Linked DNA regions of Arabidopsis thaliana. The protein of the gene in region 1 interacts with the protein of each later gene in a biochemical or structural test. Each region holds a gene or a part of one and is shown in the gene's direction. Other genes may lie near its edges.

Region 1 (10,254 bases):
TTTATTCATTCTTATTCGAAATGCAGGTTGTTCTTATTGCTGGTGAAACTGGTTGTGGGAAAACTACTCAGGTGCGTCTTTCCTCTTTTTGTTTGTAGTTCACTAGAGTCAAACGCTTCAGTGTTTTTCACTGTTGCTCTTTATTCTGTATTGATTTTTACTGCTGGAGTCAAGTATAGTTATTCATCACAGGTTATGATTTTCTAGGTTCAGCTTGTCAGTTTTCAAAACATTGTAAAAAATCGAGTTTAAGTGTTGTGGAATAAGGTTTCTGTCCTTGTACATGATATGATCATATCACTTGGTATATATAAATCGTATTCTGTTTCAAATAGTAGTTTCGATTTTTTTTTTCTTTTTTCTTTCATTTGTGAGGTTTCTCAGGTGCCTCAGTTCTTGATATTTTAGGTGCCTCAATATCTTCTAGATCATATGTGGCATAGTAAGAAAGAAGCATGCAAAATCATTTGCACCCAACCACGTCGTATCTCAGCTATTTCAGGTTAGTATCTATCTGATTCAACTCTTATGAAGTTTTCAGCTTTGTAATTCAAATGCATGCCGTATAAGCAGCTAACTCCTTACTTAATGCCTTCTTTTCCTAATTTGAAGTTTCTGATCGAATATCTTGGGAAAGAGGTGAAACTATTGGGAGAACTGTCGGCTACAAGGTAAGGGGTCTTTGTTCTTATACATACTTATTTATATGATAGACACACAAGTTCTCAGGGCTACAGAAAAAATCTTCTCTCAATATATCATTGTCTAGGTTCGGCTGCAAAGTGAAGGTGGAAGAGAGTCATCAGTTGTTTTCTGCACGAATGGCATTCTATTGAGGGTGCTTATAGGCAAAGGCGTTAACAGCTCTGTTCCTGATATAACTCACATTATTGTGGTAACAAATTCTTGTTTTTGATTCATAATATGTTTTTCATGTGTTTATTAAGTATACTTTTCCATTCACTACATGTCCTGGTTCCGCGGCAGGATTAAAATTTTAAGTGAAAAAACAACATTATTTTAAAAATCACTTATATCTGCCATCTTGTTTCTGTTTGTTTATCTTAGGTATTCTTCTTTGTGCTCTTCTTCTGTAAATTGATTTTGTAATTGGTCTATATTGGTCACTGACCCGTGTATCACTTTGTAGGACGAAATCCATGAAAGGGACTCCTACTCTGATTTCATGTTAATGATTTTAAGGTACACACTCTGGCCTTCTTAAACACTGAGGTGCTCAGCTTGTCAAAATGAATAAAAAAGTCAAATAAATATGACGGAAAAAGTTGATCATATGGCTGTTGTTTAATTGGTGTCGCGCTATAATTTAGATGCAAAAGCTGCTATACTTGTACACTTGTATTTTGAATTCTTTAGTTGAAGCTAAGTGATGAAAACGATAACTCAGGATAATTTATTTTTTTAATCTTTGGGTGTGGATCAATTTGTGATGTTTTTTTATTTGCAGGGACTTGCTTCCGTCTAATCCTCATCTCCGACTGGTTGGTTATGTTTTGCTCGTCTTCGTTTTCCATTGCTATGATACATATACAGTATAAGAATAAATATTTTCTATGGTAACAGATTCTGATGAGTGCTACTCTTGATGCTGAGAGGTTTTCTGAATATTTTGGAGGTTGTCCAGTTGTCCGAGTACCTGGATTCACTTATCCAGTTAATTCCTCTCTCTTTATGTCTCTCTCTATCCGTCTCTTTATAGAATTTGCTTCTTAGTCTCATTGTATTGGAAAACAATATTTTTGCGTCCGTATCTACAGGTGAGAACCTTTTTTCTGGATGATGCGCTCTCTGTCCTGAATTCAGACAAGAATAGTCATCTACTTTCTGCTGTCAAACGTGATTTTAAAGATGAAGATAAAGTTTCTTTGGATGAAGCAATCGACTTGGCATGGACAAATGATGAGTTTGATTGTCTCGTAGATCTAGTTTCATCTGAAGGAAGTCATGAGGCTTACAATTACCAGAACTCAACGACAGGCCTAACACCACTTATGGTCTTTGCTGGAAAGGGCAGGGTTAGCGATGTCTGTAAGCTCCTTTCAGTCGGCGCTGACTGTACACTGAAGTCCAAAGAAGGTATAACAGCATTAGAATTAGCTGAAAAGGAGAATCAATTTGAAACTGCTCAAATAATCAGGGAACATGCGGGTAACATCCAGTCCAATTCTCAGCAAGCACAAGACTTACTTGATAAGTATATGGCGACAATCAAACCAGAAGAAGTAGATGTGGGTCTTATAGTGAAGTTAATGAAGAAAATATGCAGCGATTCAAAAGATGGTGCCATTCTTGTTTTTCTACCTGGGTGGGAGGAAATAAGCAAAACAAAAGAGAAATTGCTTGATGATCGGTTTTTTGCACATAGTGCTAAATTCATCATTCTATGTCTTCACTCAAGGGTTCCAGCTGAGGAACAGAAGAAAGTTTTTAATCGCCCCCCTCGTGGTTGTCGCAAAATTGTACTTGCAACAAATATTGCTGAATCAGCAGTTACCATCGATGATGTGGTTTATGTGATAGATAGTGGTCGGATGAAGGAAAAGAGTTATGATCCCTATAATGACGTGTCAACGCTCCAATCTTCTTGGGTATCAAAAGCAAATGCAAAACAGAGGGCAGGCCGAGCAGGCCGTTGCCAAGCTGGCATCTGTTATCATCTATATTCTAAACTCCGGGCAGCGTCTTTGCCCGAATATAGAGTTCCTGAAGTTATGAGAATGCCAGTGGATGAACTCTGCTTGCAGGTGCTGTTCTTTCTAACGTAGATTTTTTCTATGATGTTTAATTGTCATTCATGCATGGTAGCGTCCTGTTTGAGACTTCTTGCGTTCTTGATTTCTTACTGATGTCCTTCTATAATATCAATATGTTCAGGTTAAGATGCTGGATCCGAATTGCAACGTAAATGATTTCCTTCAGAAATTGATGGACCCGCCTGTTGCTCAAAGTATTGAAAATGCATTAATCATCCTTAAAGATATTGGAGCTTTGACTCCTGAAGAAGAGCTGACTGAACTTGGACAGAAATTTGGTCAGCTTCCAGTTCATCCTCGGATTAGCAAGATGATTTATTTCGCCATATTAGTGAACTGTTTGGATCCAGCACTTATTCTGGCATGTGCAGCTGACGAGAAGGATCCGTTTACCATGCCCTTGTCGCCAGGTGATAGAAAAAAGGCTGCTGCCGCAAAACATGAACTTGCATCGCTTTATGGAGACCACAGTGATCATCTTGCCACTGTCGCGGCTTTTCAGTGCTGGAAAAATGCAAAAGCAAGTGGTCAAGCTAAGGAGTTTTGTTCTAAGTACTTCATCTCCCAAGTTGTCATGAAGAGGCTGGATGATCTGTGTCGCAAGCTTCAGGGAGAACTTAATAGACATGGGGTCATACCTAGCAGCAGCTCAAACTGTAGCCTGAATGCTCATGATCCGGGTATTCTCCGTGCTGTTATAGCAGTTGGATTGTACCCTATGTTGGGAAGGATGTGCCCACTTTCCAAGAATCGGACAAGGTCTGTAATAGAGACTATTGCTGGAGCCAAAGTCCGTGTGCCCTCGCTATCAAACAATGTTGACATGTCCTCTACCAAGTTTGACGAAGCTTTAATTGTTTTTGATGAGATCACTCGAGGAGATTGGGGTGTGGTGATAAGGAGCTGCACTGTTCTTCCCACTATACCTGTGTTACTGTTTTCAAGAGAGATAGCCGTTTCTACTACAGAGAGCTATGATGCTGTTAAGAGTGATGACGAGGAAGACCACAAAGTAGGAAATGTAGGAGACGCGATGGACATAGATAAAGAAGTTGGTAGGCCTGGAGAGAAAATAATGCTTGGGCCGGAAAATTCAGTAAAAGTAGTAGTGGATCGGTGGCTGCCTTTCAAGGTTACAGCTTTTGAAATTGCTCAAATGTACATCTTGAGAGAGAGACTAATGGCGTCCATTTTGTTCAAGGTACATGAGTTATCACTACGATTTAAGATTTTCATTATTTTATTTTGGCAATGTCATCCTTTTCAACCTTCCATATGCATTTGTAGGTTAAACATCCAAAGGAAAATTTGCCGCCTCATCTCGGTGCTTCTATGTATGCAATAGCTTCTGTTCTCTCATATGATAGCCTCGCACAATCTTCAGTTCAAACTGTAGCTGTGCAACCTATTACTTCAGTGGTAGATGCAACGAGTCCCAGAGATGACATACCTTCCACTAACCCCAATGAGCTTCGGGAGCATGACCCGAACACTACTCCAATGGGGTCAAAGCTCGAATTAGCCAACAAGTTGGGTTTGGGTAATATGGAAGAGAGCTTGCCTTCAAATTTCGCTGATGGGAATGAGCAACCTGACCCAAACACTTCTCCAGTGGAAGATGTTTCGGCGGCTACAAAACAAAAGAAGATGCAGTCAGAGTCCAAAAGGTGCAAGTCGCTCAACAACGTGGATTTGGGGAACATTGAAGAGAATTTCGGGAACATGGAAGAGAACCCACCTTCTGATCTGGCTATTGGGAATGAGCAAACATTGCCGAAGTTAGCTAGCAACTTGGACATGGGGAACATGGAAGAGAACACGCCTTCTGATCTGGCCAATGGGAATGAGAAAACAGAGCCTAACTCAGCCAACAGCATGGATTTAGGGAACATGGAAGAGAACACGCCTTCTGATTTGGCAAATGGGAATAAGAAAAAAGAGCCTAAGTCAGTCAGCAAGTTGGATCTGGGTAGCGAGAAAGTGAGCATTCCTTCTAATCTCGTCAATGGAAATGAGCAACATGACCTAAACATTGCTCCAGGTGAAGATGCTTCAGCGGCTAAGCAACCAGAAAAGAAGCGATCCAGGTCTAAAAAGCGCAAATCAGGCAACAACCTGGATTTGGGGAAGATGGAAAAGAGCAAGCCTTCCGATCTGGCAAATGAGAATGAGCAAACAGAGCCCAAGTCAGCCAACAACTTGGATTTAGGGAATATGAAAGAGAACACGCCTTCGGATCTGGCTAATGAGAATGAGCAAACAGAGCTTAGGCTACCTAACAACTCGGATTATGGTAACATGGAAGAGAGCTTGCCTTTGAATCTTGCTAATGGGGATGAACAACCTGACCCAACCACTGCTCCAATGGAAGCTGCTAAGCAACCAAAAAAGAAGCGATCAAGGTCCAAAAAGTGCAAATCAGTCAACAACCTGGACTTGGGGAACATGGAAGAAAACAAGCCTTCTGATCTGGCAAACGGAAATGAGCAAAAAGATCCTGAGTCAGTCAACAGGTTGGATCCGGGTAAGGAGAAAGAGAGCATTCCTTCGAATCTTGTCAGTGGGAATGAGCAACCTGACTCAAACACTGCTCCAGCTAAGAAACCAAAAAAGAAAAAGCGCAAATTAGCTAACAACTTTGATTCGGTTAACAATATGGAAGAGAAAATGCCTTCCACTAATGTATTGAGCCAGGGAAACAAGTCAGGTTTGATTGAGGAAAAACCGAGCATACCTTCCGATCAATGAGCAGTGTGGCTCAAATACTGCACCAACCTAAGCAAAACCGAAAGAAGAAGGGAAGTATGATGCCCATTCCACTTTGGTGTTTTAATGAGCATTTCGGTGTTTGTCATGAAACCAAGTTTTGAAATGGCACTTGTCTACATAAGTGTAACAGATTCTTAATTTCAACAATTTTGTTAGATAATTTGTATTCATTCTCACTTAGTGCTTCCGTTGTTCTATCGTTATAAACGTTTTAAGATATACGCATGTAACTGAAAGAAGAAAAGCCATTATTGATCCAGTACTGTAGTGTCTTAGTGTGAGCAGAAAAAAGATTTGATCATGGAATGGCTTTAGAGTAAAATACTAAAATAGATGGAATCGAAGGCTTATGAATCTGACGTGGAACAAGAAGAAAGCGTATCTGCCACGTGGCACAATACAACACCTCAACAGCCTTATCTGGACATCAACAGAGAGATCCTCCAATATCCGAAACCAACCAATCAGCTTCACTCTTGGTTTCACCTCCATACATTAACACACCAACAATCCTCAAAAAACACTTTCATAACTTAATCACACACAAGGAGAGAAGAGAGAAAGAGAGAAAGAGAGACAGAGATAATGGCGTACAGTGCGTGTTTCCTACACCAGAGCGCATTGGCTTCATCAGCCGCACGATCATCATCTTCCTCCTCATCCCAGCGTCACGTGTCGCTCTCCAAACCTGTTCAGATCATCTGTAAAGCTCAACAGTCTCATGAAGACGATAACTCCGCCGTCTCCCGCCGTCTTGCTCTCACTCTCCTCGTCGGCGCCGCTGCTGTTGGTTCCAAAGTATCTCCTGCTGATGCCGCCTACGGTGAAGCTGGTGCGTTTATAAAATAAAATAACCTTGGATCATTTCATTTTCTTGAAGAAGAATCTTGAAGAACATATTGTGTTTTTTTCATCCTATTTTTATTTTTTGGTTTGTTGCAGCAAACGTGTTTGGGAAGCCAAAGACGAACACAGACTTCTTGCCATACAATGGAGATGGGTTCAAAGTGCAGGTTCCAGCAAAATGGAACCCAAGCAAAGAGATTGAGTATCCAGGACAAGTCCTTAGGTTCGAAGACAACTTCGATGCTACTAGCAATCTCAATGTCATGGTCACTCCTACCGACAAGAAGTCCATCACTGATTACGGTTCTCCCGAAGAGTTCCTCTCTCAGGTCTTTGCTTTACTCCATCATCTGTAAAGGTATTGATGTTACAAAATCTAATGAAGTGTGAGACTGAGTGGTGATTTGGGCTTTATGCAGGTTAATTACCTCCTAGGGAAACAAGCTTACTTCGGTGAGACTGCCTCTGAGGTAAACTTCCCATTGTTATTTGTTATAAGTAAACCAGAAGCTGATAGAATAGAATAAGAGAATCAAACACTAAAGAGAGAACACATTGTCTCCCTCGTTGTTAACTGATAAAACAAAACTCAAAAGCTTTTTTAACTGATAACCTTCAAAGACCTCTCTAGTAGTCGATGATTATTACAAGAAAGATTCTTACCTTAGGTGGAGTGAGTTATCAAGTTCTAACTCTGTGTGTGTGTGAATCTGATGTTCTTACAGGGAGGCTTTGACAACAATGCAGTGGCAACAGCAAACATTCTGGAGTCATCATCTCAGGAAGTTGGTGGGAAACCCTACTATTACTTGTCTGTGTTGACAAGAACGGCTGATGGAGACGAAGGTGGGAAGCATCAGCTGATCACAGCAACCGTGAATGGAGGGAAGCTTTACATCTGCAAAGCACAAGCTGGAGACAAGAGGTGGTTCAAGGGAGCCAGGAAATTTGTCGAGAGCGCAGCCACTTCTTTCAGTGTTGCTTGAGTGAAAGCAACACAACGTAACAATGCTCTGCTTGCTTTCTTCATTTGTCTCTTGTAAAAAATGGAAAATGAAACTGAGCTTTTGAGAACTATCAAGATGATGTTACCTTTTCGGCATCACTTGTGTACCTATGATAACAGACTCGTTTTCCAAGTTTTCTTAAAAAACAACTATATTCAATAGATATTTTCTCAAATTAATAAGATATTGACTCAGAAAGAAGCTATAGACTAAATCTAAATCCTTGAAAGCACAAAGATAGTGAGAAGAAAGCCTGCTTGAAGCTGATATGAAAAGAGGTAAGCATCAAATGGTTCTTCTAGTCAACAGAAAGGTTAAAACGCAGATGAATTTTGACGTCTGACTCTAACTAGATCTATTGAAGCATATGCCAAAGGCCCTCCTCTTTCTTTTTGGCTACTGTAAAGTTCTCAAAGAGGCAAAAAGATTTTATTTGCATATGTATTACAACACTTTACCATCATCTATATACTACTTTTAGTTCATATTGTAACTTTTGAGCTTTACAAATGCTACAAACAGAGTGTTAAGAGTTCAGAGATACTCAACAGGGAAACCAACGACGGGTTTTATCTCAGAGGCCAGGGACCGTAGCTCACTCACTTCATTGTCTGTCAGACTCCAACCTATCGCTCCAGCAAACTCTTTGGCTTGTTCTGCGTTCTTGGCTCCTGGGATGGGTATCACGTTCCCTTGTGCCACCAACCAGTTCAATGCTATCTGCACAGCACAACACAACAAAACAAGAAGGCATATGATTTGATGCAAAATCGAGGGTGTACACTTGGATAGCTTAATATGGATCACACAATTACTCTTTTGTATTTTTCTTAACGTTTTTGGACAGGGAAAAAGAAAAACAGAGTGCATAAGGAAAAGGGAAAGAACCTGTGTGGGAGTTTTGCTGTAGTTTTCCCCAATTTGTTTGATTCTATTCAACAGGGGTTGAAGCTGTAACGTCACAAGTCAAAGTTAGTGAAGAAACCTGGCACTATTATGCTACCTTTTGATAATTTCTGTATAGGTACATTGATTGGTGTTGTGTTTTGTATAAAAGTGTATACTTTGTCTCAAAACAGAACTTACTAAGAAAAAAGCAGGATTAGAGGAGAAAATCGACAGGTTTATAACAGTGAGATATACAAGTTATCAAAATCCAAAAATCTGTTTCTTAGAAGACTCGAGGGTTATTCAGATGTAACTATGGTTTTGCAGACATACACGCCTGTGTTAAATAACTTAGATATATGCAGCGAAAGCTATTACCTTTGTTAAGAACTCACGCGTATAAATGCGACCCCGAGGACCTGAGGGTGGGTTCTCTGGGGTGTATTTACCAGTTAGAGCACCTGGAAAAAAGACAAAAGAGCAAATAACGGAAAATGTATGTGTTCATTAGCCAGGTTGTTTTGCGTCAATACTATAAGAGCCTGATGCAACTTTTCTAGAGAACGATAGACATGAACACAACGCAAAGGAGATAAAGGCAGATTACCTTGAGCGATGGGGGAATATGCAATTAAAGTAACTCCAAGCTCATCACAAGCAGCCTTAACACCAGTCTGCTCTGGAGCTCTGTATATCAGACTGTAGTTGACTTGATTTGAGGCCAGAGGAATTCCTCTCTTTTTGAGTCTTTCATAAGCATCACGAAGCCGCTTCTCTGAAAAATCGCACAACAGTAAGTATAATGAATTTGAAAGTTCATAAGATATGCATCCGTGAGAAGGAAAAAACAGATTGAAATGATACCGCTGTAGTTAGAAACACCAACAGCCTTGACAAGTCCTTGTTCAACAGCATCCCCAAGACCATCAAGATATCCTAAAAACATAACTCACAATGTCAATGGATTTGATATAATCACCAAAAGTGACACGAACTCTAGTTAAAAGTAGATTCAGTGCTGCTCTTAAGAAAAAACCTTCATTTCCCCATAGTCCTGGCCTGAAATATAATTAAGAAAATAGTGAGATTGTTACCTTCTAGTGTTGTTTACTCCAACATGAATTAGGGGTGCATACCAATGCAGTTGATAGAGATCAACAGATGAAAGCTCAAGCCGGGAAAGGGAATCTTTAAGGGCAGTGACAACACTTTCACGACCAAATCGCCATGGCAATGCAGCAAACTTGGTTGCAACCGAAACCTCAGCTCCGGGATATCTCTCTTTTCTCTCACGGATGAATCTGTTCGAAAATCTCACCAATGACAGTCAAGAGGAATATATATGAGGATAGTGTGGCACACTGTTATATGTTTTCGAAACAAATTACCTTCCTAAAAGAGTTTCAGAGCTTATAGCACCCAGGGAAAACTATAAAAGATGGAGATTTCCAAATTAGTTTCAGAATAAACCAATTTACGAAGAGTGATCAGCTTTCTTACGCTTACCTTGGAACCATAAACTTCTGCGGTATCGAAAAAATCAATACCGTTGTCAAGACTGGTGTCGAAAGCACCTTTAGCCGCCTTCAATTTTCTGTCTACCATCACAGAGAATAAAAAAAAAGAGATTAACTTTTAATTCATTTCAATACTTTTGTTTCACAAAATGTATAAAATTGAGAATCGAAATTAAGAGAACTGACCATCCCACTGGAAATCATTCCAATAGCTGTTATCACCCCAAGACCAGACTCCGATCCCAAGCTTCGTCACTTTCAAATCCGAGCCACCCAATTTCACTTTTGATTCTTCCGAAATCGCCGGAGCCACGGAATCTCCGGAGGCTACAGCTCTGACCAGCTTCCGGACGAAACTTCTTCTTCCATGAGAGCCTTCGGAAACAACATAGTTGAAAGGGAAGGTGAAGTGCGTAGCCATGGCCATGCTGATTTGTTTTTGGGTTTTGAAAT
Region 2 (11,249 bases), 5.4 Mb from region 1:
AGTTTGGTTTGTAATATATTACTTAAGTGTCGTGTCTGTTAAGTTAAAGTAGTTATGTTTGTTGTGTCACAAGAAAGAAGAGTCATAACTCTTGACTTTTCATGTCTGTTGGTTTGTATTTAAGTTAATTGTTGTAAACCTTGTAAAACAGTTGTTGTATTTCACTTTCTCTATAATAGAAAGACAAGTTCTTCTCTTTATTGTTATGTTGACGATCAAACCAATTGTGATACAAAGTCTGATTCTCTTTCTCTGTTCTTAACTCTGTTCTGTTTCTAGAAGGAGATTCAGTTTCTAACAAAGTGGTGGATTTGCATGGAAATTTCTCATAGATAACCTCTTGAAGAGTAAGCAGCGACATGACACATGAGGCAAGAACTATTCAAATTCTTCGAAAACTTGTTGACATTTATAAACTCAACACACACACACACACAAAAAAACTACATATTTCTACTATTACGACAGCAGAAGAAAACAGAGCATGTTGTGATCATGATGAGTCTTATTCCTACATTGTCACTATAACGAGACTTTCATATATGAACAATAAATTGGAGTTTCCTGGAAAAATCAAGACAAGAAAGAAAGGACAGATAAAGAAGTTGACGCATTTATATTTTTCTAACGTCTAGTAGTCTGAATCTTTACTTTTCTTCACATTTGATTATTCAACAATGTCAAATCAGGGGTTACTTTTCAAGCTATAAGAAGCGAATAAGCGATGAGAGAAAACTCAAAGAGAAACAAGTTTAGAGAGAAAGAAAGAGAAAGGTAGAAGATGAAGTTCCAGGAGGGTGTGTTCTTGGTGGTTATTTTCTTCCTTGCATATACTCAGCTTGTGAAGGGGCAACATCAACCTCGCGAAGATTGTAAACTTAAATGTGGAAACGTCACAATAGAGTACCCTTTTGGTATTTCTACAGGTTGTTACTATCCCGGAGATGATAATTTCAATCTCACCTGTGTCGTGGAAGAGAAGCTACTACTCTTTGGCATCATTCAAGTGACCAATATTTCTCACAGTGGCCATGTAAGTGTACTGTTTGAACGATTCTCTGAATGCTACGAGCAGAAAAATGAGACTAATGGAACTGCCCTCGGGTATCAGCTGGGTAGTAGTTTCTCTCTCTCCTCCAACAACAAGTTTACTTTAGTAGGATGTAACGCTTTATCACTTTTGAGCACTTTTGGAAAGCAAAACTACTCAACTGGATGCTTGTCATTATGCAATTCTCAACCAGAGGCAAATGGAAGATGTAATGGTGTAGGTTGCTGCACAACAGAGGACTTCTCTGTCCCGTTCGATAGCGATACATTCCAATTTGGCTCAGTTCGCTTGAGAAACCAAGTTAATAATTCCTTAGATCTATTTAATACTTCGGTATATCAGTTTAATCCTTGCACCTACGCTTTTCTCGTTGAAGATGGTAAGTTTAACTTCGATTCTTCAAAAGATCTTAAGAATCTGAGGAATGTCACGAGGTTCCCTGTGGCACTAGATTGGTCTATTGGAAACCAGACATGTGAGCAAGCTGGAAGCACAAGAATATGCGGTAAGAACAGCTCATGTTACAATTCTACTACTAGAAACGGGTATATCTGCAAATGTAATGAAGGTTATGATGGGAATCCATACCGTTCAGAGGGTTGCAAAGGTACTTCATATTAATTTCTTTGCTTTCTTTCTTCTTTTGAGTGTTTATAATCTTCCTCATACGTTTTTGGTTGCATCTTGTGCACTTATTCCTTTGGTCAGACATCGATGAGTGTATTAGTGATACACATAACTGTTCGGATCCAAAAACCTGTAGAAACAGGGATGGAGGCTTCGATTGTAAGTGTCCATCTGGTTACGACTTAAACTCCAGTATGAGCTGCACGAGGCCCGAATACAAACGGACTCGAATTTTTCTTGGTAAACACTCTTCACTGGTTCTAGATTCTCTTTAAATCAACTCGCTCTAATCATCTATGCATGATGTTATCAGTAATCATAATCGGCGTCTTGGTCCTCCTGCTTGCTGCGATCTGTATACAACATGCAACGAAGCAAAGGAAGTATACCAAGCTCCGACGACAATTCTTTGAGCAAAATGGTGGTGGCATGTTGATACAGCGACTTTCAGGAGCAGGGTTGTCAAACATTGATTTCAAAATCTTTACTGAGGAAGGCATGAAAGAGGCAACTAATGGCTATGATGAGAGCAGAATCTTGGGCCAGGGAGGTCAAGGAACAGTCTACAAAGGGATATTGCCGGACAACACTATCGTTGCTATAAAGAAAGCTCGGCTTGCAGACAGTAGACAAGTAGATCAGTTCATCCACGAAGTGCTCGTGCTTTCACAAATTAACCACAGGAACGTGGTCAAGATCTTGGGTTGCTGTCTAGAGACTGAAGTCCCCTTGTTGGTCTATGAATTCATTACCAATGGCACCCTTTTCGATCACTTGCACGGTTCCATTTTTGATTCTTCTCTTACATGGGAACACCGCCTCAGAATAGCGATAGAAGTCGCTGGAACTCTTGCTTATCTTCACTCCTCTGCTTCTATTCCAATCATCCATCGCGATATCAAAACTGCAAATATTCTCTTGGATGAAAACTTAACTGCAAAAGTAGCCGACTTTGGCGCTTCTAAGCTTATACCAATGGATAAAGAGCAGCTCACAACTATGGTGCAAGGCACTCTAGGCTATTTAGACCCAGAATACTATACCACAGGGCTTCTGAACGAGAAGAGCGATGTGTATAGCTTTGGGGTAGTCCTCATGGAACTGCTCTCAGGTCAAAAGGCATTGTGCTTTGAACGGCCACAGGCTTCAAAACATTTGGTGAGTTACTTTGTTTCTGCCACGGAAGAGAATAGGTTGCATGAGATTATTGACGACCAAGTGTTGAACGAGGATAATCTGAAGGAGATCCAGGAAGCTGCAAGAATTGCTGCAGAGTGTACAAGGCTAATGGGAGAGGAAAGGCCAAGGATGAAAGAAGTAGCTGCAAAGCTAGAAGCCTTGAGGGTCGAGAAAACCAAACATAAGTGGTCGGATCAGTATCCTGAGGAGAATGAACACTTGATTGGTGGTCACATCTTGTCTGCACAAGGCGAAACCAGTAGCAGCATTGGCTATGATAGCATCAAAAATGTAGCAATATTGGACATTGAAACTGGCCGCTGATATTGCTCACAAAATCACATGTATCTCTTTTGTTTGTAAAAAAAGAAAACCACTTATTTGTTGCTTCATCAATATGCTTTGAGAGCTTGTTTGTTCATCATCAATAATCATGTTCATATTTTCCTTTACTTGGTATACTATGGTGCAAGGCACTCTAGGCTATTTAGACCCAGAATACTATACCACAGGGCTTCTGAACGAGAAGAGCGATGTGTATAGCTTTGGGGTAGTCCTCATGGAACTGCTCTCAGGTCAAAAGGCATTGTGCTTTGAACGGCCACAGGCTTCAAAACATTTGGTGAGTTACTTTGTTTCTGCCACGGAAGAGAATAGGTTGCATGAGATTATTGACGACCAAGTGTTGAACGAGGATAATCTGAAGGAGATCCAGGAAGCTGCAAGAATTGCTGCAGAGTGTACAAGGCTAATGGGAAAAGAAAGGCCAAGGATGAAAGAAGTAGCTGTAGAGCTAGAAACTTTGAGCGTCAAAACAACCAAACATAATTGGTCGGATCAGTATCGAGAGGAGAATTTACACTTGCTTGGTAGCAACATCGTGTCTTCCCAAGGCGATACCAATAGCCGTGGTTATGACAGCGTCAAGAATGTAGCATTGCTTGACATTGAAGCTGGCCGCTGATAAATTTTGTTTGTTAAAAAGTATATTGTTTAATTCTTTATTGTTTATCTCCTTTTGTCTTTATAAACATAACCAGAATATCAAAACATGACATTCAAAAACATTGATATCCTTGTAGATCATCCATATATACTCATGTTCACAATTCTCCTATATTTTTATATGCTAACCAGTAGCTGATTAGGTATTAGAAAAACTACCTAGAGTTCATAAATATGATTCCATACGACATTAATATATCATTGTGCTTAATTATAAAGAAAAACAAAACAACTCGAGAAGAAAAAACACTAGAATTTAAAGTAGGCGTCAAAAACAGAGGAGAGTAAGTATACTATGAATATGATCATCGAAATCTTCAGCACCTGGTCGAGTTCATCGTAGATACCGCTTCCTCAAACCAAACCATATGATTCTTTGTTAGTTGCTTGGTAAACTAAAAAAATAAAAGACTCATTTGGTGCAAACTTCATATTTGATCTACAGCTTGAGTCATCATGTTTCGTTACTCATCTACAACCCATCATTCTTGTTGCATAAGATTGCTTGATATTGTATATCACATCAAATCTCTTAATTTGTTTCTTGTTAAAATATATGATTTTTAGTAAGTGTTAGTCAGCAATCCTACGATTATTGGCAGGTTAGTCACCAATCAAAGCATGATCACTTGTTGTCTACTTCCATTTGATTACCCCAATTCATGTTTATTGACTTACTAATAATACCAAGCACGTATTCAGACTAAAATTATCTTAGAACCAACTTCAGTGGATGAAGATAAAAGTTGGGGAAAGTGCAGACTCAAATATTAAAGGAATCTCAATTCTCAGTTTTAACTTTTACTTGTATGTTTGGTAATGCTTTTACCTTTGGTTGCATGCTGCAAAAGTGATTTACTCTGTCCCAAGACTGAACTTCAACTTGTGTATATGATTCAATTAGACAAAGGGAGAGGAAAGTAGTGAGTTTTTGTCCAGCTCACTGACAATGTATCGATATGATGTCTTTAGACTTTGCTTTTTCGTGTAACTACTCAATTTATGCAATGATGAATCAGTTTTTGTCTTGTACCTGCGTTTAATAAAAAGAAGAAGAGTTTTACAAAAAACAAGAGTATTTTCTAGTCATAGACCTAGTTAGTCTCTAACTAATGGAGATGCCCTAATGTCCCACGATCCGGAGAAACATGTAAAATCCGTTTTCATCGTCATTATCGTAGTTATTCAGTTAACATGAGCTATATATTTAACTCTTAAGATTAGGTAAATGTATGTTTCCTTTCTTATGGAGTAAAAGATCAATTGACATGTATGTCATCTTCTTGTTGCTCAGGTATATATATATTACTCTTCTCTTTGTAATCATCTAAATGTAAAACTCTTAAACTTCGATTTGTGACTCGAAATGTCTAAATGTGATGTTATAATATGGGGAAAAAAAACTCGTAATAAAAGCATCAGAAGAAAACAGAGCATGTTGTGATCACAGGATTCAGGAGTCTTAATTTCTACATATAGTCATTATAGTTAAAAGGCAATTTTCATATCGTCTAACTAATTAATATATAATTAAGATTAGTTTAAGCTTAATTTGAGGTGGAAAGATCTGTTAAGAAAAAGAGTAAATTTGCCTTGTGATATCCAGAAAAGAACAGAGGACCAAGACATTTGAAGATTCCTTCCAACTATCAACTGTCTTAATCTTTGAATAGTAAGCAAGTAAGTGTCACTCACTATTATTAATTAACAAAAGCAAATTGGTTTCCTCACTAGCGAACAAGATATCAATAAAAGACGAGAAGACCGAGACCTGTAGTTGTCCTCACTAACGAACAAGATATCAAGAAAAGACGAGAAGACCGAGACCTATAGACTATAGTTGTCACTGTTTAACCGAAGCAAACGTGGATGTTAGGATACTATACAGGAATAAGCAGCAGCGTACTTAAACGTCCTCTTCACTGGTTACGTTGGTTGTGTAGTTGAATTTTAGTCTTCTTGCAATTTCTGGGAAAATGGGAAGGGGCCTGCGAAAATGAGTGAGAGAGAACATCTCGTATACAGTTGTTTCTTATAAGAACAAGGAGATTAGCGAAAAAAACTCAAAAGAGGAACAGAGTTAGAGAGAGAGAGAGAGAGAGAAATAAAGAGAGAAGAGAGGTAGAAGATGAAGGTGCAGGAGGGTTTGTTCTTGGTGGCTATTTTCTTCTCCCTTGCGTGTACGCAGCTGGTGAAGGGGCAACATCAACCTGGTGAGAATTGCCAAAATAAATGTGGCAACATCACAATAGAGTACCCTTTTGGCATTTCTTCAGGTTGTTACTATCCCGGAAATGAAAGTTTCAGTATCACCTGTAAGGAAGATAGGCCACATGTCTTAAGCGACATTGAAGTGGCAAACTTTAATCACAGCGGCCAGCTACAAGTTCTGCTTAATCGATCCTCTACTTGCTACGACGAGCAAGGAAAAAAAACTGAGGAGGACAGTTCTTTTACACTGGAAAATTTATCTCTTTCCGCCAACAACAAGTTAACTGCAGTAGGCTGTAACGCTTTATCACTTCTGGACACTTTTGGAATGCAAAACTACTCAACTGCATGCTTGTCATTATGCGATTCTCCCCCAGAGGCTGATGGAGAATGTAATGGTAGAGGTTGCTGCAGAGTCGACGTTTCTGCCCCGTTGGATAGCTATACATTCGAAACTACATCAGGTCGCATCAAGCACATGACTTCTTTTCACGACTTTAGTCCTTGCACCTACGCTTTTCTCGTTGAAGATGATAAGTTCAACTTCAGTTCTACAGAAGATCTTCTGAATCTGCGAAATGTCATGAGGTTCCCTGTGTTACTAGATTGGTCTGTTGGAAATCAGACATGCGAGCAAGTTGGAAGCACAAGCATATGCGGTGGGAACAGCACTTGTCTCGATTCTACTCCTAGAAACGGGTATATCTGCAGATGCAATGAAGGCTTTGATGGGAATCCATACCTTTCAGCTGGTTGCCAAGGTTCTTCTTTCTTTCATGTTCTGAGTAGTAATATTTTTCCCATTACATATCTTGTTGAATCTTGCGTTCTTTTTCTTTGTGCCAGACGTCAATGAGTGTACTACTAGTAGTACTATCCATAGACATAACTGTTCGGATCCCAAAACCTGTAGAAACAAGGTTGGAGGCTTCTATTGTAAGTGTCAATCTGGTTACCGCTTAGATACCACCACTATGAGCTGCAAGCGTAAAGAGTTTGCATGGACTACAATTCTTCTTGGTAAGTTTCCCTCACTATTTCTCGACTTGATGTTTCCCAGATCAACTTATTATAATCATCTCTCTGAATCTACGATGTGTGTGATCAGTAACCACCATCGGCTTCTTGGTCATTCTGCTTGGCGTTGCCTGTATACAACAGAGAATGAAGCACCTGAAGGACACCAAGCTCCGAGAACAATTCTTCGAGCAAAATGGTGGCGGCATGTTGACACAACGACTCTCAGGAGCAGGGCCGTCAAATGTTGATGTCAAAATCTTTACTGAGGATGGCATGAAGAAAGCAACAAATGGTTATGCTGAGAGCAGGATCCTGGGTCAGGGTGGCCAAGGAACAGTGTACAAAGGGATATTGCCGGACAACTCCATAGTTGCTATAAAGAAAGCCCGACTTGGAGACAGTAGCCAAGTAGAGCAGTTCATCAATGAAGTGCTCGTGCTTTCACAAATCAACCATAGGAACGTAGTCAAGCTCTTGGGCTGCTGTCTAGAGACTGAAGTTCCCTTGTTGGTCTATGAGTTCATCACCAATGGCACCCTTTTCGATCACTTGCATGGTTCCATGATTGATTCTTCGCTTACATGGGAACACCGTCTGAAGATAGCAATAGAAGTCGCTGGAACTCTTGCATATCTTCACTCCTCTGCTTCTATTCCAATCATCCATCGGGATATCAAAACTGCAAATATTCTTCTGGATGTAAACTTAACTGCAAAAGTAGCTGACTTTGGTGCTTCAAGGCTGATACCAATGGATAAAGAAGAGCTCGAAACTATGGTGCAAGGCACTCTAGGTTACCTAGACCCAGAATATTACAACACAGGGTTGTTAAACGAAAAGAGCGATGTTTATAGTTTTGGGGTCGTCCTAATGGAACTGCTCTCAGGTCAAAAGGCATTGTGCTTTAAACGGCCACAGTCCTCAAAACATCTGGTGAGTTACTTTGCGACTGCCACAAAAGAGAATAGGTTGGATGAGATTATTGGCGGCGAAGTGATGAACGAGGATAATCTGAAGGAGATCCAGGAAGCTGCAAGAATTGCTGCAGAGTGTACAAGGCTAATGGGAGAGGAAAGGCCAAGGATGAAAGAAGTAGCTGCAAAGCTAGAAGCCTTGAGGGTCGAAAAAACCAAACATAAGTGGTCGGATCAGTACCCTGAGGAGAATGAACACTTGATTGGTGGTCACATCTTGTCAGCACAAGGCGAAACCAGTAGCAGCATTGGCTATGACAGCATCAAGAATGTAGCAATATTGGACATTGAAACTGGCCGCTGATATTACAAATTCACATGTATTTCTTTTGTTTGTAAGAAAAAAAAAACTACCTCTTTGTTGCTTCATCAATAATGCTTTGCTTCATTAATAATGATTTGAAAGAATTTTTATAAATCATCAATAACCATGTTTGTAATTCCCATTGGTATACTAACCAGTAGCCAATCTGGTTATAGGCAAACTTAGAAACTCTTTTGCAAAATAGCAGATTACCAATATCAGTTCATAAATCTTATTCCATATGACATTGATGTTATCAAAAACAACTAGATAAGAAACACTAGAATCTTTACAAAAAGAAATGCATAACATATAGAGAAAGTTATGATCATGAACCTGGTTCCTAAATTCTTCATCTCCTGTATCTCTTCATCGTCAATTCTGCTCCTTTAACCATATTGTAAGCTTCGTAAAGTGGCGGAGGAGGTTTCTTGAGCATGATTGTTATCCTCACAACCTCAAACTCTTTGTTCAACCCCATCAAAAACTCGTAACGCTGCTCCTTCTCTCTCGCTTCTTTAGCTAGTTTCGTACTCTCGCAATTGCAACCACCGCACTTACACTCAGGTACAGGAGCATACTCCGACAACTCCATCCAAACTTTACTCAGTTTCCCAAAATACTCCTCAACAGAATCACCACCTTGCCTCAACGTCGCGAGCCTCCGACGAAGCTGGTAGATCTTCAAATCGACGCAAGGAACGAATCTAAGTCTGAGATTTTCCCACGCTTGATGAGCAGTCTTCGCGTACATCACAGACTTTACAAGCTCTTCGCTCATCAAATTCATCAGCCAATACTTAACTATTGTGTCGCATCGTTTCCATGGATGATAGAGCGGCGAGGAAGGTTCTGGCTGCGGGAGAGTACTGTCAATGAAACCGATTTTGTTCGTGAGTTCGAGAAAAGAGCGAAATCGAAATTTCCAGATGACGTAGTTGTCTTCGGCTTCGCTGAGTTTTTCGATAGAGAAATCGGAGGGTTGATTAATATCTGGAGGGAGATAATACGGTGAATCGGGGTCGGATAATGGAGATACGCTCTTGATAGTTTCCGCCATTGTCGTCACTGAGCTCTGCTTCTAAAACTCTAGGGCTTGCCCTTTTTTATCCCTTTCGATTTTGACTAACATTAAACAAATCATTTTCAAAATGAGAAAGAGAAAAAAAAAAAAAAAAAAAGATAAAGAGTTGGGCTTAATGGGCCTTGAGTTTCCCTCCGGAGCCCAACAAAGCCCCTAGGGAAGCTAGCGTCGATTGCAAGAAACGCATATGCTTCTTTCCAACGTTTTGATTTGTGGATACTAGAGAGGATGTCAATAAACATGATTGGTCCAAGCAAACAGTTGATCTTCCCTTCCCTTTGGTTGATATGAGTTCCCTGGCACCAACAAGGTTGGTGAAATCATTTCCCCCAAAATGTATACCACCCATTCTTCAACTTTCCTTCTTCATAATGGACTCATACACGATATGTGCGTCTCTATCTCACCCGAACCTTGTTTTTCTTCAAGGACCTTAATGTGTAAGAGCTTGACAGACTCTGTTTTTTTCTTCTTTGAATCAATATATAAGCGTTGGCTTTTCAACATCAAGCAAACTAGTTTTTTATCTTACCATTGATGATTTGCATTTTCTGACATGTGTTATTTCTTTTTATTGTTGTTCATATTTTGAGTGTTTTGTTTGTTTTTGCTCAGAAGGTATTATATGCACAAGATTTCATTGAACTGTATGCTGCAGATAATCATCGAGAAGCTCGTTTATCTATGAGGATTAAGCCATTGTGGAAGTTTTGGAAAACCTAATCTTAACTATCATTTGTCTTAACTACCAATAGGTCTAATTCTAAAAGACAGTGGAAATAAAAAAGCAGGGAAGAGAAGGGTTAGGTGAAGGTGGTCTACATAATTTGCCTGGAAATCAAGAAAAGTAAGAGAAGGATATTGGAGCGGACCATAGCACATGAAGATGAAACATTCTAATGGGGCTCCCATTTTAAAAGGGTCCCACAGAAATTTTATTGTAATTAAATATACATATATATATATATTGATTTTTAATAGGAGAAATAGTTAGTTTTATACATATTAATCTTAAATAATAGTGTGATCCAAAATATTTATAAATCTAACATACAATTAAATAAATAATTCAGAGTTTTGTTTAAATTGGTTTCTATTTACTCTATAGTTTTAAAGACAAAAGTACTTTGTTTTCGTAATTTAAATGGCCCGAATTTCATTGGTCCGGCTCTGTAAAATAATATTTACTATTGCAGATTCCTGCAATTATTGGGAAAATGGGGACTAGTCAACGGAAGCAAGTCAAGAGAACATATCAAGAATGGAGTGTGTTTTCTTAGCTTTAAGAAGCAGATGCTACGGAGAGATGAGAGAAAACTCAAAGAGAAACAAATTTAGTGAGACAAAGAGAGAAGGAGAAGATGAAGTTGCAAGAGGGTCTGATCTTGGTGGCATAATGCTTTATGACTCAAAATGTCTAAATGTGGGGAAAAAAACAAGTCGTAATAAAAGCATCATAAGAAAACAGAGCATGTTGTGATCAGGATTCAGGAGTCTCAATTCCTATATCGTCATTTTAAAAGGCAATTTTCATATTTTGAGCGTGAAATTAACTGTTAAGAAAAAGAGTAAATTTGCCTTGTAATATCGAGAAAAGAAGAGAGGACCGAGACTGAAGTTGACTTAAGAGGGTCTTCATAATTGAAGATTCCTTGCAAGTTGCAACTGTCTTAATCTTTGAATAGTAAGAAAATAAGTGTCACTGTTAACAAAATTAAATCGGTTTCCCCACTAACGAAAAAAATATCAAGAATGACGAGAAGACCAAGACCTATAGTTGTCACTGTTTAAATA
Region 3 (10,566 bases), on another chromosome or scaffold:
AAATGTTCTGTGTCTTGGACATCCCTGAAGAACCTGTCATTGTATCATTGCAACATCTCTGATGAATCCATTGCTATTATTCTATCTGGTTGTCCCATTCTCGAAAGCTTATTGTTGTTTTTCTGCAAGAAACTGAAGGTCCTTGATCTCAGCAAATCACCGCGTCTGATAACATTAGAAATCACTCGTAGATGTCGAATGGAGCCAACACAGCTCGTTGCACCACATATCCGTTGTCTCAGATTGATAAACTCTGAGAAACCATGTGCTTTAGTTGATGTCTCCTCTTTATCCCAAGCTGAACTAGACATTACCGCTTACGCAATAGTTGATAATAAACTGGAGGCTGATTTTCATCAGACCATGGTGGTAAAGATGTTAGAAAAGTGTCAGAATGTGGAGAAGCTTACTTTGGGGGCAAACTTTCTTAAGGTATATGTTTTCACTCCTGATTTAGTTTACATAATTAGGCTCTGATTTTCAAGAAAACTAGTGTGTTTTTTGGTATACACTCATTTGTCTTCTGTTTTTTTTTGTTTGTTATAGATGTTATCTCTTGCCGAGCTCCGTGGTGTTTCTTTTCCAAAGTTGAAGGCTAAAGCTCTGATACTTGAGACAATGATCTCTCGATATGTTATTCATGGTATAGTAAAGGTGCTACAAAACTCGCCTGACTTGAAGAAGCTAACCATACACCCAATGGGGTCTGCCGGCTCATATCCCATACCGGTAATTATGAATATTCCTTGACCCCGAATTTTGAATCATCATATTGAAATATACTTGCATTACAGGAAGAGCATATTGACATATACTTGGATTCTCATGGCTTGAATTGGGATCCATCCTGGAGCTCGGAGTTTAAGAACACTTCCCGCAGGAATGTAGAGTCAAAGCAAGTGGCTTCGTTTCTGCAACTTGTGCTTAAAACCATATCAACATTAGAGTTGATTGTCGCAAGGTTGGAAGGTTATATCAAAGGAAGACGTTTTGTAGAGTTGCGTCAGATGGTTCCAATGCTTCCTCGCAACAACGATGTCTCCATTGTGCTCAGCTCAAGAAGAAAACGATTCAGAGTGACTTAAGTCATTTTACATTTAAGTAGTACACTAGATGAAAATCTCTTGTTTGTTTTTCTTACTGAAATAATCGAATTCTGTTAAATTGATTTTAAGTTGTGAAATTGTTTTTACGTTTTACCATTTCCAATCTACTGGCTAACCTCGGAAAAACGGTCTAGTGAGCGAGCATTGCCTTGAGAAACAGTACCCGCCAAATCCAGCTCTCATGTACACAGTTTGATATTATTTCTTTCCAGTACTTTTGATTCAGCAACAGAGAGTTCTTTTCGGGCTATGTAAGAATCAATTTGCATTGTCTGCAGCCTATCCGGTGGGGAGCTGAGCCAAGGAGCAAGATTTGCTCCATATCCATTTTCTTCAATTCTAGTTATGCATGCCTTGAGATCCACGTACCTAAGATAAACAAAGAATCAGTCAGAGGTGACAAACCTAGGACAAAAGAAGTTGCGGAATCGAACAAATTTTGGCCTAAGGAACAGAAGCAAGGCATATCAAATATCACAAGTCTCAAGGTCTTGGATCTCTCTGAGAACAATCTTGATGGATCTCTCCCTTCATCTCCTGGGATACAGGCATGAAAGAATCTCTCGTAAGTTCATCTTCGCTTTTGCGTTTCATATACAGCTTCACTATCGTAATACATAACTTAGCAGTGAACTGGAAGAATTCAAAGCAAGGTCTTGCCAACAATAACGTCTGCCTCTACACTCTGATAGACCTCTCCATAACAAGCTATTCGGAGAAATCCCATATTCTTTAGGCAATCTCAAAAGCTTAAAGCTTTTAAACCTCTCATACAACGACATCTCTGGATTGATCCCACAAAGTTTTGGAAATCTTGAGAAGGTAGACCTTTCACACAATAACCTCTCAGGCGAAATCCCGCAGAAACTATCCAAGCTCAGTGAGCTGAATGTATGGAGTTGAGCAACAACAAACTTATAGGTAGAATCCATGAGAGTCCTCAGCTAGACAGATTGAACGATCCGAACATTTACGCAAACAACAACAAAATATGTGGAATGCAAATCCAAGAACCATGCTCGACACAGACCAAGCAGCCAGAGAAGCAATGTTTTCATGGAAAGCTGCAGTCATAGGTTGTCCTTGTGGAATTCTAATGGCAGTTGTCTAAATGTATATGGTTGGCTATTTCAGAGACTCATCACCACCACCAAGGCGATCTCTCAAGAACAGATGACTGAAGAAATCAAAATCTCTGTTTTTTTTAAAACGAAATGGAAGATTATTCAGATGCTGTAACATTGAAAAATAAAACAGTCTGTTAGCAATCCCTATGAAGTGATGTTATCAAGAGAGTTAAACAAAGTAAATTGTCAAATCACTTTCCAAAAAGTTGTATTTTGATCCTCTGTTTTTTACTCGATGAAAACAGAATCGTTTAATGTAAACATTGGCAGCATATAACAAATTCACAAAAATCTGTGTCTTTTTGGTGACATCAAGGATTTTAAGATAACAGCAGAGATTTGTTAAGCAAAAAGATTGTTTAAACAAGAAATATCACCTTCTTGCGATGACGATCAGTGTGAGACATATATTCCAATGGAACACGAGCACCCCTAGAAAGCTTTGAAAGAACAGATACTAAATCTCCAAGACCGGAAATGTCCTCATTAGCAACCTTCTTTATGATACAAAAATGGTTGCAGATACAATTTCCATCTTACTTATCCTCACTCCTAAACTTAACAACTGCATACAAGTAGCCAATGCACAAAGTAATATCTAGCTACTTTACTATACCCAAGAGGGATCTAGAATGTCAATTGCATAGAGTCCATGGTCATCATCAGGGACCAATACTTCAATATTATCATCCAACGGCTCTGTATAACCTGCCAACAAAATAACATTCAAGTTCAAGATCTGCTTCATAACTCACTTTTCTAAAAGTCCATAGTCAAACACAGACAAAATCTTCTAAGTGATCCTCATCAACCATTTGCTTTCAGATTTTGATTTTGGTGACAGGAATCGATTTGAGAAATAACCCCAAAACCTGAAATAGAATCAATTGTATCTAAAATGGGATTGAGAGACGTCAAAATTGTTTTGAATAGAATGAATTGTACCTAAAAACAACAACTTTCATCAGATTGAGAGAAGAAGACGAAAAACTAATATGGAGCTAGCAACATGTATACTATTTCACTTTTTTTAGAGTTTTTCAACCAATCAGAAGGCTGTATTTCACCCCCACTCTCACAAAGTGAGCGTTGAGCGCGTGAGAGCACTTCTGTGGGTGTACCCCTTTGGAAATCATGCCTTTTTTAATCTACGCACTCCTCTCTGAAATCCCCATCGCGTGCAATTGTTTTTGTTTTCTTCTCTTAACCAGTGTAAACCGAAACCAAAATCAATTCTAATTTAAACCTAACCGAAAAATCAATTTCAATTTCATATAAGAACTCCACTATCAAATTAACAAATCATATAAACGTAAGTCTTTAAGTATAATATTTTTATTAAATCGCGGTACAAGCCTAGTCAGAATATACTGTTTTATTTTTTCCAAAACATAAATTATACTATAATTTCATTTTGTCTTAACAGATATTTAATTTCATTCTATGTGCTATACTCTAATACTTAACAACTAATCGGAGCACTAAGAATATACTAATAAAAATCGCTTAGAAAGGCAAAACAAATTACTATCATCAGATTTCTTCCCCAATCTTCTTCTTCATATCCTTGAAGGAGAGAGTATAGAGAATCCGATCCAAAAACCCTAAACCCCATTTCCCGCGGATTTTCTCCCAAGCTGATACGGAGATCAAATGGGAGATCCGTTGGAGAGGTTGGGTTCTCAGGCATCAATGGCTACTGAGTCTGTCATGAAGGAGGACTTGTGTTTAGAGATCGATCCTCCCTTAACTGAATCCGTTGCCACCGCTGAAGATTGGCGTCGTGCTCTCGGTAAGGTTGTTCCCGCCGTCGTTGTACTCCGCACAACGGCTTGTCGCGCCTTTGATACCGAGTCCGCCGGTGCTAGCTATGCTACTGGTTTTATCGTTGATAAGCGACGTGGGATCATCCTCACCAATCGCCATGTGGTTAAGCCAGGTGCGCCTTTTGACTTGTTGAGAAACGAGTGTCAGAAGATTAGCTGGGTTTCAAGAATTCATAAGAGATGATGTTATTGTTGTGGAACTGTAGAACTGATCATGGTTTTTCAAAGTATTTGTTTTTGGATTGTTCGATTTTCCATAGGTATTAGTTACATGTTTATCTAGAATGGCTTAGCTCGATATGGATATGGAGATTATTTGGTCATTCCTTCTGGGTTTGAGTAGACAGAGAATCTCTTTAGAGTTCAGTAAAATTGATTTGTAAATTCTTTCTTCTTACGTAGGCCCAGTAGTTGCTGAGGCAATGTTTGTGAACCGAGAGGAAATCCCAATCTATCCTGTATACAGGGATCCGGTAAGTCATTTCGGTTTATGTTCGATCAAATGAGCATGCATCTGCAGGAGCTAGAATTTGTGTCTCATCTTTTTATGTTTACTTTTCTCCCTTCTCGACTTGTCCATTGTCATCAGGCTGACATTCTTTGGTATTCTTTTCAGGTCCATGACTTTGGCTTCTTTTGTTATGATCCCAGTGCTGTACAGTTTTTGACTTACCAAGAAATTCCTCTTGCCCCAGAGGCGGCTTCTGTTGGACTCGAAATTAGGGTTGTTGGAAATGATAGCGGAGAAAAGGTAAGATACATAGGATGGCGGATTACTTCATATTTTAGACTGTATTTTTCAGTTTCATGTTATAAAAGCAGTCACTTACTCAACTTAGCTCTCAATTTAAATTTTGATGAGGTCAGAACTGTCTATCTATTGTTCAAGTTATTCTGTCAAATGTCAAACTTAGGGTGCAAAAAAAAATGCATTTTAATATATGTTTGGTGCATTAAGACGCATTTATGGATAAGTAATGCTTCTGGTAACTGGAGTGTTGATTTGCAGGTTTCCATACTGGCTGGTACTCTTGCGCGGTTGGATCGGGATGCTCCACATTACAAAAAGTATCTCTGCTTCACTGCTCATGTTTTTTAGTTCTGCTTATTCCTCAACATGAAAATTTGTTTGATGTTACTTGATACTTGCATGAAATCTTCGTAATTTCATATAGGTAGTAATTGTTGAACTAGTAATATACCACCGGTACCTTTTATAGTTTCTTATGGCTACCTGCTTTGTAATTTTTATTTTATTTTTTGGTGCAGGGATGGTTATAACGACTTCAATACGTTTTATATGCAAGTAAAGTGACTCTGTCCTCTTTAATATTTATTGCTTTAAATTTTAGTCACTAACTTATTTTGAACTGAATTGCATGCTGTCACTCTGTGTCAAAGCCTTGTTTTCTCTTCTTAGTCGTGTCATGCTTATGGTTAATCCCTGTTTCCACAAAAATGTGTCTCTTACTCGTATTTACTCTAAAATATCACGAGTCTACCACTAGGGTAAAACTTTCCTGTTTGTAGCTTATTGTGCAATACACAAGTATGTTATGCTACTGTTATTCAAAGTGTAAACCTTACACATACGCTACTGTTTGTTAATATGGTATCTGTGTTTATAGGCAGCATCAGGTACTAAAGGTGGTTCAAGTGGTTCTCCCGTCATTGATTGGCAAGGCAGGGCAGTAGCTTTGAATGCTGGCAGCAAGTCGTCAAGTGCATCAGCCTTCTTCCTACCACTTCAACGAGTGAGCAATCTCTGTTTCTCGTATACTTGTATCGATGGTTCAGTTACGACTAGAATCGAGATGGTGTAACTTATTTAGTCACTGAAATAACCCCTGTAAATTCAGAACATTAGATTATTGTGTAGCTTCTGCTTCTGTCAAAGTTAAGAATTGATAAGTGTATAAAGCCTCCACTAGAGGGTTGTTTAATGTGCTTGGTATTCCGAAAAATAGTTCATGCTGGAAGTGTGTACAATGTTACGAATAAACTACACATCTACTTCAGATCTCTTCTTTTCATGTATGGGATCCTGAGAATCTAGTAGGAAACACTGGGAAAGTCAGACATGGTTCTGGATCTCATTTTTTTTGTTCTTTACAAATCATTTTGTATTTCAACCCCTATATTAATTTGAAGTTTAGTTAGAAATTTGCTTAAGACTTTTGACCAAGAATGGTTCTCTTGTTTGGAAGGTTGTTAGGGCGTTAAGTTTTCTCCAAAAAAGCATTGACTCGCGGACGGATAAGCCAAAAGCAGTTCATATTCCTCGTGGTACACTTCAGGTTTGTTTTTCCCTCTCTGATTTTTGAGACTCTTCATAGTGCCGTTACGAAAATTTCCGCGAATATCAACTTTTGACTCTTTTTTAAATAGCTGGGTTCAGTTTATTGTCTGAAAAACTACACATACCATTACATGTACATGGTATGTCAATTAAATGTATGCGATATGAATGTTGTGTTCAAATCCTAGAGGGAAAATATATACGTTGAAAATCGTGAATATTACTTGATATCTGAATGACCATGGAACTTTGATCTGGACTACTGTGGCTGGTGATAGAAAGAATATCCTTGGGATCTGAAATAGTTCATGGTTTAATTTCTATTCACTTTCCAACGATTGTTAGATTTGAGATTCAGAGGAAGTTCAATATCTCTTACTTAATTATTAGTTCTGGGGTTTTCTTATGTAAGCTTTTATCTGTTTTCTTGTGTACTTTAGATGACATTTCTTCATAAAGGATTCGATGAGATACGGCGACTTGGTCTCAGGAGCGAAACTGAACAGGTACATACTATTCCTTCTTACCATCATTTAGGGCATCAGCTTTCCTCGTGATGCTCACTAACACCTTACAAAATGCTATCTCTTGATCGTGTAGGTGGTTCGACATGCATCTCCAACTGGGGAAACAGGAATGCTTGTTGTCGATTCTGTGGTGAGTGCATTGCTTTATTAATAACATTCAATACAATAATTATTTTCAAAGAATATGGCTATTGTTTAAGTGATGGTTAAATTCGAAACTTTTTATCCTAAATTTGATATGTCGTGATGGTAGGTGCCAAGTGGCCCTGCTGATAAACATTTGGAGCCGGGAGATGTTCTTGTTCGGGTGAATGGAACAGTAAGTTGTCTTGATTGCATCTTCTTAGTGAGAATTTAAATTTTTTTTGCCTCAAGTAATCGAGAATTGTGATATCTTTTGCGGCAACATTAGTAAAGAAACGTATTGTTTAGAGATTGGTTATTACCTGGCCACAGAACGTATTAATCAGTGCACTTAGATTGTCTAGTTCCTTTTTCCTCAGTTTGCTAAATCTTCCTTTATGCGTTTGATTGTTATTACAGGTGCTCACACAATTTTTGAACTTGGAGAATCTGCTTGATGACGGTGTTGGCCAGATACTTGAATTGGAGATTGAAAGGGGTGGACAACCACTATCTGTTAGTGTATCAGTGAGTTCCATTCTTCTATTTCTAACTTTGGTTTTATGTTCCTCGTAGTCTTCTAGGATCTTGTGTTTAGTTTCTGCCCTGTCACATACTGACTAGAAAAGCAGGAGACTATGCAAAGACTAGAAGTAAAATATATGTAGCCGTCTCTTCTCTTTTATTTTGGTCATTAAATTTGTTCTTGTAGCTCTTTTCGTTTCCCCTGATAGATGGAGTTCCTCAATACTTAATTTGCATTTAGAATTCTGCCTTAATGTGATTTATACTTCCTATCTATCATAAAAATCAAGAGCCTTATGTGTTTGTGTATTTCCTGCCACAGGTACAAGATTTACACTCAATCACTCCAGATCACTTCCTGGAAGTAAGCGGTGCTGTAATTCATCCGTTGTCTTATCAGCAGGTAACTTAACTATGACTTGAAAAGATATTATCTGGAAATTTCTGTGCCTGCATGCATGATATTCTTGTGTCGTACAGGTGGAACTGTTGTGTTTAATTATGGCTTGTAACTATTTAATGTTCTATTAGTTGGAGAATCATATCAACATGCTAGATATTTTATTCATAATAAATGCTGTGGATCCACTTTATCCCCCACACTGTCTTGCTAGATCTGATTATGGAAGCATAACTAAGTGAAATAGTGATGTGACTACACTACCTCCTGCTAATAAAGAAGCTTACACGTATTTCACTGACACTTTCTTATTGGCATTAGCTGATCTTAAAATATTGTGATTTAACAGGCTCGCAATTTTCGTTTTCCTTGTGGCCTGGCTTATGTTGCGGACCCTGGGTAATTCCCTCTACTTCCGCCATCAAAATTTTCACGTTTTCTTGATTTATTTTTGACTGATGTGTCAATATTCTGACATGTGAGCTTATTGTTAATGTAAATGATTACGTGTCTCTGTATTTCTGGATTTACTTTGAAGAGCTCTTTTCTATTCAGATACATGCTATTTAGAGCTGGGGTCCCTCGACATGCTATCATAAAGAAGGTTGCTAATGAGGATATTTCCAGTCTTGGAGACTTAGTATCTGTTCTTTCAAAGCTTTCTAGGGGTGCTCGTGTTCCATTGGAATATATGTCTCACACTGATCGTCATCGCAAGAAGGTGATATTTCTTGTTTAAACAATCTTTTTGCTTAACTTCCTAACCCACTGTAAGCATATACTTGTCAAAATTTGATGCTAGCATTTATATATGATATTTTCTTAGGCTACTCCATATCAGCATCTTCATTCTTGCAAACAGTTTGTTGATTCTGTGATAATATTACCTCTCTACTCGGTGTTCCTAGTGTGTGAAATTTTGTGCTACTGCAGTGCTGCTAGATCTCTGTGATCACTTTTTACGGAAAACCGTTATCTTTAAGACTATAATTTTCACAACTGTGGATCTTTTTGCGTTAGCAACGTTCCTGTTATTAACATGCTTGCTTGTCCACGTTTCGTTTTGAACTCTATGTTAATACTCAAACGAGAAGTACTTATTGTCGGGTTCCATTCCTGCAGTCTGTGTTAGTCACGATTGATCATCATGAATGGTACGCTCCTCCTCAGTTGTATACCCGTAATGACAGTTCCGGTTTATGGGATGCGAAACCTGCAATTGAACCTGCTTCTGTTTCACCATCTATTGGTAATAATGGCTTTCCTATAAGCCAAGATATTTCTCTATGCCATCACGATACGGAACCCATGCATGAAGTGAATGTTCGTGGGGTTACTGATATTGCAGCGATTATGGAAACTTCTAGTGGGGATGGTTCTCAGAATGATTTTGGCTCAGAAGCAAAGAAACAAAGAGTTGACGAGGATTCTTCAGATGGGATTGCTGCAAACGGTTCCTTATATGGCAGTGAATTTAAATCTGATGATGCAATGGAAACAGATACTACAGTTTTAAGAGACTTCGAAGGTGCAACAGCACTGTCTGCTAATGCTTCATTGGCTGAGCGTGCTATTGAGCCTGCACTTGTCATGTTTGAGGTAAAGACGAAAACTTCTCTCAAAGTTATCAGTTTCACCAGCTGTTGAAATTTAATACTTTTTATGTGGTGTGCTATTTCTCACTGTTTCTTTTTTGATTCTTAGTAGTCAATTGATTTTTCATTCACAACATTTGATAATACTTGAGTAAGTTTGGGTGTATCAGTTGATTCAATAATTTGCACAGAAGATGGGTGTGTCACTGAACGTACCTGTATAAAATAGTATACAATGTTGACTTCAAGGTTCAGAGTTCCTACATCATCAAAGAGTACAATTTGATAACACAAAGTAGTTACTTAGATTATTTCTCAAGAACATGTTAGATTTGGTAACTACTTTTACAAGTCTGATAGATAACAATCTATGGAGGCTACAAGAAAACCATAGATGTATGACCTGGTGAACTGAATTACTATCTTGGTTAAATATGTTTCTGGTATATGCAATTTTAACTATTTCTTTATATCGTTTTTTTGGTAAAAAGTAATTATACAGTAGTTCTTATTGTGATTCAAGGCAACTTGCATCTGTTGAATCTAAGTTCTCTTATACAGGTTCATGTGCCACCATCGTGCAGTCTTGATGGTGTACACTCACAACATTTCTTTGGGACTGGCATCATTATATATCATTCTTCTAACATGGGGCTTGCTGTGGTGGACAAAAACACAGTTGCGATTTCTGCATCTGATGTTATGTTGTCCTTTGCTGCTTTTCCAGTCGAGATTCCTGGAGAGGTAATTTCCCTGGGAATCTTATAGTTCATGGAAGGAAGTGTTAGAACTGATCTTTCTTAACTGAACTGCAGGTAGTATTTCTTCATCCCGTTCACAACTATGCTCTGATTGCGTATAATCCATCAGCAATGGATCCTGCCAGTGCTTCAGTCATTCGTGCAGCTGAGCTACTACCTGGTATGTTGTTAACCATTTGAAAGTTCCATCGTTGCCTGTTTGGATATCACCATCTAACAGGTGATTATACTTGTGTGAAAATATGACTTAAAAGATTTATATATATGCTCTATGGCT

Evidence for each region.
Region 2: the proteins of PSBP-1 (region 1) and WAK1 form a complex in vitro, tested with the Arabidopsis thaliana proteins (one study listed by BioGRID).
Region 3: the proteins of PSBP-1 (region 1) and DEG7 form a complex in vitro, tested with the Arabidopsis thaliana proteins (one study listed by BioGRID).

What each region holds. Positions count from the first base shown.
Region 1 is NC_003070.9:2,041,812-2,052,065, forward strand, and holds PSBP-1 (photosystem II subunit P-1), read left to right. Parts: upstream 1-5,822; 5' UTR 5,823-6,128; coding exon 6,129-6,375; coding exon of another isoform or gene 6,376-6,379; intron 6,380-6,485; coding exon 6,486-6,718; intron 6,719-6,808; coding exon 6,809-6,859; intron 6,860-7,114; coding exon 7,115-7,375; 3' UTR 7,376-7,628; downstream 7,629-10,254. Other genes in the region: NIH (nuclear DEIH-boxhelicase), read left to right, coding at 27-71, 409-502, 613-671, 770-895, 1,151-1,203, 1,469-1,502, 1,585-1,674, 1,779-2,765 and 2 more; AT1G06690 (NAD(P)-linked oxidoreductase superfamily protein), read right to left, coding at 7,931-8,116, 8,285-8,347, 8,663-8,745, 8,892-9,059, 9,149-9,220, 9,321-9,343, 9,421-9,585, 9,673-9,713 and 2 more. UniProt on the Arabidopsis thaliana protein: May be involved in the regulation of photosystem II.
Region 2 is NC_003070.9:7,433,522-7,444,770, forward strand, and holds WAK1 (cell wall-associated kinase), read left to right. Parts: upstream 1-5,649; 5' UTR 5,650-5,990; coding exon 5,991-6,834; intron 6,835-6,919; coding exon 6,920-7,093; intron 7,094-7,181; coding exon 7,182-8,371; 3' UTR 8,372-8,592; downstream 8,593-11,249. Other genes in the region: WAK3 (wall associated kinase 3), read left to right, coding at 782-1,658, 1,760-1,918, 1,992-3,181; AT1G21245 (Protein kinase superfamily protein), read left to right, coding at 3,321-3,821. UniProt on the Arabidopsis thaliana protein: Serine/threonine-protein kinase that may function as a signaling receptor of extracellular matrix component. Binding to pectin may have significance in the control of cell expansion, morphogenesis and development.
Region 3 is NC_003074.8:795,834-806,399, forward strand, and holds the start of DEG7 (DegP protease 7), read left to right. Parts: upstream 1-3,666; 5' UTR 3,667-3,886; coding exon 3,887-4,172; intron 4,173-4,461; coding exon 4,462-4,532; intron 4,533-4,675; coding exon 4,676-4,810; intron 4,811-5,068; coding exon 5,069-5,127; intron 5,128-5,328; coding exon 5,329-5,365; intron 5,366-5,687; coding exon 5,688-5,813; intron 5,814-6,266; coding exon 6,267-6,356; intron 6,357-6,798; coding exon 6,799-6,864; intron 6,865-6,958; coding exon 6,959-7,015; intron 7,016-7,138; coding exon 7,139-7,204; intron 7,205-7,428; coding exon 7,429-7,536; intron 7,537-7,855; coding exon 7,856-7,936; intron 7,937-8,282; coding exon 8,283-8,332; intron 8,333-8,488; coding exon 8,489-8,654; intron 8,655-9,055; coding exon 9,056-9,532; intron 9,533-10,089; coding exon 10,090-10,272; intron 10,273-10,343; coding exon 10,344-10,449; intron 10,450-10,566. Other genes in the region: AT3G03360 (F-box/RNI-like superfamily protein), read left to right, coding at 1-432, 547-729, 795-1,085; AT3G03370 (uncharacterized protein), read right to left, coding at 1,590-1,761, 1,872-2,050, 2,611-2,730, 2,850-2,941, 3,015-3,048. UniProt on the Arabidopsis thaliana protein: Probable serine protease.